Xenopus tropicalis: one gene and its partner. The protein of the gene in region 2 interacts with the protein of the main gene of each other region in a pairwise test. Links are inferred from orthologs where the notes say so. Each region holds a gene or a part of one and is shown on either strand. Other genes may lie near its edges.

Region 1 (3,519 bases), on a different chromosome or scaffold from region 2:
GAAAACAAATCGACCATAGTTTGTATAAATGTAAGAGGGACTTAATAGAGTGTTTACTAAAATTGGCAATTAATACAATTGATGTTTCCCATAGCAATCAATCAACAATTAGATTTAAACAGTCACCTATATGTTAGAAAACAAAAGTATATCACCAACGATATTTGTCGTCAATGTTAGTAAACATGGCCCTGGGAGGGGAATTGAAGTGAATAATATTCTCTGTAAAATGCTGTAGAATATGTTTATATGTAAGTTAATGATAATATTAATTGACTTTGATATCTTAGATATCCCTGGACCTACAGGATAGAGTTGTTTTCTATATCTATCACCCTGTTATGAGCTAAGGGGGCCCGACATTTTTTACCACAAAGGGAAGCCTAAGCACTTTTGGCTTAAAATGATTCTATTTTGAGAATGACAATTCACTCTATAAAGCATGAGGAACACGTTTTAGTTCCCAACCCTTAGTTTAGGAAGTCCTATTTTAAAGGATGGCTATAATAAAGCAGAATAAAGATAAACTCAATAACCCATGAGAAATTGTGCAGAAAATAAACTAGATTTTAAGGTGATCTAGACATAGGTGACTAGACTGGATAGAAGCTCATGGTTAGTGTGGTATGTACACCAAATTAAGCATGATCTGCTATCACCACAATGCAAGAAATACCCTTGTGTCAACTTTTTAAAGAATGTACGGTATCCTTCTAATAAATATACATATTAAATACTTGGGAAAAAATAATAATCTGCCTTTTATTATAACAGGAGGAATAGTGATGCATTTTGTAACTGGGAACTTCCTAGGGAAAATTCCTGCTTCTGGCAGACACACTTGTCCTATAATAGTGTAGAGCATTTGACATTCTATTTTGTGCCAATATTTTCCTAACCAAAATTCCTAAAGCGAGGATAGATAATACAATGCATATCTGGTTACATAACAGACAGGCGCTTTCTGTTAACTGCCCAGTATTATTCAAGTGCTTTGGATAAAGACAAATCAATGTGAAATAAGAATAGCTAAACAAAAAAGGTGCAACATATGTAAGATATAGAAACACCACATGAGGACTATACTAAAAAGAATAAAGTTCTTACCTGTTTCATCTGCGTCATTTGACATTATATTGTATAAAGTGTCCAAAGCATAACCAATTATTTCCGAGTCGGAACTGAAAGTAAAACATTAAGGTCAGATAAGTCTAACCAGAAAGAGTTTTTGCTAATTTCCTTCTTACTAAACACAAATAGAATAATTTCCCCCCAAAAAATGTTCTTGTACAAGTACATCCTTTCCTTGATTCTAGCTACACTAATATAACAATGTATTAAAAACCTATAGAAAAATATCTCTACATTCCCAAAGGGCTTGTTTTTAACATATAAGTGGGTCATTACAACCTACATGTACAGCTGCAGCCAAAAATAGTGCTGAGGTCCTTGTATCCAAAGCAGCTCCTGGAAGTGCCAATTGCATAGCACCTATTAGTTTGTTTTGAAGATTGTATGCAAGTGCTCTATTCATGAATAAAAGTTTTGGCCAGTAAATAAGATGATAGCAAAAGTCCGTTGCTATGGTTAAATTGGTTAATGAACCAAGCCACATTTTGCCAAGCTAGAGTTTGGCATGTGATCTGGTCACTTGGCATGGCATGACACTAATTTGCAGACCCGGGCACTTCAAGCAATTAACTCTCACCAATGCCAAAAACACACATAGGCAAAAGACACTTTTCAGTCTGGACAGACCTGCAACAATAGACTGATATACACTGTCCAAAAACTGGGGACTAGGTTAATATATTAAAACACCTTGTTTAGCCATATTTCCTTTATTCTGAGATGACTGATAGCTTACCGGTCTGTCTGTAGAACATTAATAAGATGATCCATAGCTTGAGTGGCCACATCGAAGCGGTATTTCTGGTTGAGGAGAAATAAACAATAACATATATATATATATAATATCTAATGCAGATGTGTTAGATCTGCAACAGACATAAACAGATACAGCAATGATTAAGTTCTGAGGGAAGAGGGACTGCAAAATAGCCAACAGAATAACAGTAACTAATGTCTGTCAAGCCAATTACTACAGATAAATGCTCTAAACTTTATCTACAATGACTCTTCTCACCTATCAACCCAGCTGTCTCCTGAAGAACTCCAGCTGAGGGAGTTCTCAGACAATAATATAAAAACCCATCACAACATCTATATAGAAGACCTGAATGATGTTATGGTGGAAATAGGACAAAAAATTTGCAAAGCACTATATAAACTGCTACAAATAATTACCTATGTTATTAGGTTTGAGACTGTTTTAAGCCAGTATTGCATATGTGTCTCATATAGTCAACGTTTAATTTTTGAAATGTAAGATCTGATAACATATAGATATGAAAATCCTCTTGGCTAATTAATCCAGTAGCATGCATACAAGGACATAGACAGGGGCAAGCCTTTTTGTGTCTCATACATGATCTTAAGTTTGAGTCTGAAATATGGAACCAAGCAAAAGAAATTTATAGGAGACTAGCAAATAGCAACTTAACATTTAAAGAGGTAGTTCACCTTTAAAATAGCAGAGAAATAGTTTTTGGCTGATGGGGTCAGTGACCCTCATTTGAGAGCTAGAAAGGCAGAAGAGGAAGAAGCAGAAAAAGTGAACCACCCCTTTAACAGTTGCCATGGAGAAATAAAGAAACATAAATCTTACAATTTTATGTGCAGAGTGAACTAAAACCTTCAGGAATTAAGTCTTGGATCTTGAGGACCTTAGTGCAAACATGTGTGTGTAAACTGACTGCATTAATCATAAACAGTGCTCACATATATCCAAATTTAGGGTCATAATAACACATCACTGGACAAAAAATATGAGACAAACCTTTGATAAAGATTTGAGGGCTCGTACTGCATCTCTTCGATCATCTAGTAGAGTGGCAGAGGCAACCCTGTCGCACAGCTTCTGGATCTAGAAAAGGATGATTAGATATATATCAGTTTTAACAAAACCAAAGGTATAAAATATGAATCATTTAGACATTTGGCAGTATAAACCATATTTCCTAATTTAACAAATATAAAATTAAATTGGTTTTTGATCCAAAAAGCCTTAAACTAAGCATTGAACTAAAATGTTCATTAAGGCTAAATTTAAACAGGGATTTATTAACAAAGCAAATAGCTACCTCAAAGAGATGAAAATGACTACAGTTGGTCAGAGATTTTGTTGGAAACTAAGCACATTACTACATTACTGACAGTCAAATACCCTAAAATCCAACACCTTACCATACAGACATTTACAATACTTTCCAAGCTAACTTACCTGCAGCGAGTCACTCACTATAGTTTACATATATACTTCAATACGAAATTAAGAGCGCAAAAAATTGCCCAGGCATTGTAACCCATAGCAACCAATAAGATCAATGCTTTTAAACAGGTGTCCAGTGAATGCTACATGGTGATTGGTAGGCATAGGTGATTTGACCAGTTTTAAAA
Region 2 (3,519 bases):
GAGGCCTTTTTTTAAGCCAGCAGAGAAGTACCCAATTGTGTTATACACATATACATTCATTACAATTGTTCAAGGTGTTTTTAAGTTATGTTTTGTATATGTAATTACAATTGATAACAGTGTTTGTCTGTCTCTTTCTATTCTCTGCCCTGGTGGCCCTGACTTTTGAAACAATGTGGCACAAGGCAGCCGAGTGACAGATCTGTCTTTGCCAAAATATTTCAGCCAGCACAAGTAAAGTGCAAGCAGGGCTTAGCCCCTGCGCGTTTATTCAAAAAGCAACGTTTCGGGGGCGTACCCCTTCGCCAGGCTAAGCCCTGCTTGCACTTTACTTGTTGTGCTGGCTGAAATATTTTGACCGGACTGTGTGGAGAGTGCCGACTCTAGGCTGTGCACCAAGTAGTAATTCTCTGGAGGAGGTAAGGGTGTGCTGGTGTAAAAAATTCTTTCCAATTGTAGATCTGTCTTTGCAACATTATTTAAAAAGTAATAACCAGTAGTTAAAGGGGTTGTTCACTTTTGAATAAACTGTTTGTATGATGTAGAAGAGTAATATTCTAATACGATTTGAAAATGGTCTTAATTTTTTATTACTTTTATTATTTTTTGCAGTCTTTGAATTATTTAGCTTTATGTTCAGCCACTCTCCAGTGTGGAATTTTAGCAGTTTTCTGGTTACTTTGGGTCCAAATGACCCTAGTAATGAGGTAGCCTCTCAGAACAACTGTTTTATGGGCTCCTGGTGTAAGTGATCCCCATTTGAAAGGGTCAGAAGAAGAAGGTTGTAAATAATTATAAAACTATAGTAAGACCAATTAAAATGTTTCTAAGAATAGGCCATTCTATAACATACTAAACCAGGGGTCCTCAAACTTTTTAGGGGTCCAGTTCACGGTCCCTCAGACTGCTGGGGGGCCGGACTATAGCTAGTCCTCAAACTATGGGCCCTCCCCCCCCCCCCGCTGAGTCCTCACCCCTGGCTACTTACTGTCTGCCTCAGCGTGGTCCTCGGCCCCAGGGTGTCATGTCACACAGGCCAACGTTAATGATGATGGACAGGTAGTAGCCAGGTGTGAGGACACAGCAGGGGCCGGGTAAATGACCTTGGCCCGCAAGCCATAGTTTGAGGACTCCCGTACTAAACGTTAACTTGAAGGTGAACAACCCCTTTAAGCAAATGCAGCTTTCAATAGCAAATACATTTACAAATAACTATAAGCGCTGAAAATCTGTAATGAATGGATACTGGAGAAGAGGCTTAGAATAACAATTTCTTTTATTAGGCAACCATTTATTTTTTGGGGTTTGCAGTAGCATCCTTTACAGGTTATTTGGATTCAGAGAGTCTACAGGCACTCAAGATGAGGAAAAGGGGGGAAAATGCCACCTTGCAGACAATAAAATAGGAAAATAAGGGGGTCCACATAGACATAATTATCTATAGACGGAACCAGTATCAATAACCTGTTAAGGAACTCTTTTAGAACTATTAGACTAATGTAATAATGTACAGGCAAAAGCATTTAAATTTCATCTGTTTCAGTCCCTGCCCCCCAGTGATATGGAAACTGAATCTTAGAAAGAAACACATGACAAGCTGCTGATACTCACGGATGTCAATCCTTTGCTCCAGAGGGAGGGGGTTAGTGCTTCGTGACACCAATTTGGTGAGGCAGGTGGCGGCCAGTAACTGAGAGTATGAGGACTGAGAAAAGAAGCAAAAAAAAAAAAAATAAGTATTTGTATGTGAAAAATATTACTAACCCATAGATCATTATATGAGCTTTGACAACTGTTTCCACACTTTACACCACTATAGTACAGTTATATGCATGTTCTCCATTAAATCCACTTTCTTGTAACTTTTAGTATGATGTAAAGACTGCTATTCTGAGATAATATGCAATGGTCTTCACTTTTTATTATTTGTGGTTTTTGGTCCAAATCACCCTACCAACCAGACAGTGGTTTGAATGAGAAACTGGAAAAAAAATAGGAGAGGGTCTCAATACAAAGATAACTAATACAAAATCAGAATAAAATCAAAGCTTTAAAGAGTAATTGTTTTTTGGCTGCTGCGGTCAGAAAGCTGGTCAGAAGTGGAAGGCAACTAACTCAAAAACTATTAAAAGTTGCCAGGAATTCTATAACATACGTTAAGTTACCTTATAGGTGAACTGCCCCTTTAAGGTTTTCAGACAATTTGGGCCTTACAAATGTTGCGCAATGTGGCCATACACTGGGATGGCCAAGCAGCACATTTCAGCCTTTAAGTCAATTGTTTTGTTAAAAACAGTTTGCAGTGAGACAAAGCTGACTACACCTTGTCCGGGTTTGAACTCGTTAGGTGCCTCCATTTACTTGTGCACTGTTATGCATCTCTGTGCAGGAAGCCCACCAATAGGTTGAAATACCTTTCAAGGAGGCACCCATATGTTACACACATACATTAAATCAGTGATCCCCAACCAGTGACTTGTGAGCAACATGTTGCTCCCCAACCCCTTGGATGTTGCTCCCAGTGGCCTCAAAGCAGGGGCTTATTTTTGAATTTCTGGCTTGGAGGCAAGTTTTGGTTGCATAAAAACCAGTTGTACTGCCAAATAGGGCCTTCTGTGGGCTGTCAGTCCATATAGGGGCTATCAAATAGCCAATCACGGCTATGAAATAGCCAATCCTTATTTGGAAACCTCATGAACATTTTCACACTTGTGTTGCTCCCCAAATATTTTTTTTTATTAGAGTGTGGCTCACAGGTAAAGAAGTTTGGGGATTCCTGCATTAAACAATTACACAGGAATGCTAAATTGAGATTCTGACCAACTTGCTAGCAATGTAGCACCCACAATAGCCCCACTTGCTATTGGAGAGATAGTTAGTGCAAGCAGCAGCTTGGCGGGACATAACCGCACAGTTCCACACGTGCACATATACGCCCTCTTGCCTTCCTATCCTGCCCTGTGTAACCTACATTTACCTTTCCCTATCTTACATGAATTATTACAAACTGTAACCCCCACTCCAAGGAAAAGCCCCAGTTGCCCCATACGTACACTTCCCCTCTCAAGCAACAGTTGGCATTTGCTTAGACACTCCGGGCTGTTAGTGAACTCCACAAGCGCCTTCTCAGCCTGCAGCCGGGTGCTGGTATCTGTAGTCTCATACAGCTGCTTGCACAGGATCTCTAGCTGAGCTAGACTCTACAAATAAAAACAGAAAGGATTACATTTAGTCAGAAAATCCACCATTTTAATTCCTCAAGCCAAAATAACATGTTTGTGGGAAAGAGAAACTGCCATCAGAAGCACATGATCCAATGAAAGCAGAGTCAGACCTACTCATGACAGTCACATGGTGAAAATGGAAGCAAACTTGCCTAATGCCAATACTAACACTCTACTGTGTGTTTATATCTCTGCTAGTTAGTTTCTTCCCAAGCAAAATGTTTGATATTTACTCAAAACACAACAATGATAACACATAATCTGAACTATGTTATTGTCTGGTCAGGTCACAGAA

Evidence for each region. The genes of interacting proteins can lie anywhere in the genome.
Region 1: the proteins of xpo7 (region 2) and uso1 interact in binary tests that used the Homo sapiens proteins (3 or more experiments, as listed by UniProt). The two-hybrid records come from large-scale screens. The link is inferred for Xenopus tropicalis from reciprocal best matches to the Homo sapiens genes XPO7 and USO1.

The regions. Positions count from the first base shown.
Region 1 is NC_030677.2:79,457,721-79,461,239, reverse strand, and holds part of uso1 (general vesicular transport factor p115), read right to left. Parts: intron 2,987-3,519; coding exon 2,900-2,986; intron 1,933-2,899; coding exon 1,868-1,932; intron 1,182-1,867; coding exon 1,108-1,181; intron 1-1,107. UniProt on the Homo sapiens protein: General vesicular transport factor required for intercisternal transport in the Golgi stack; it is required for transcytotic fusion and/or subsequent binding of the vesicles to the target membrane.
Region 2 is NC_030679.2:129,471,558-129,475,076, reverse strand, and holds part of xpo7 (exportin-7), read right to left. Parts: intron 3,201-3,519; coding exon 3,054-3,200; intron 1,706-3,053; coding exon 1,612-1,705; intron 1-1,611.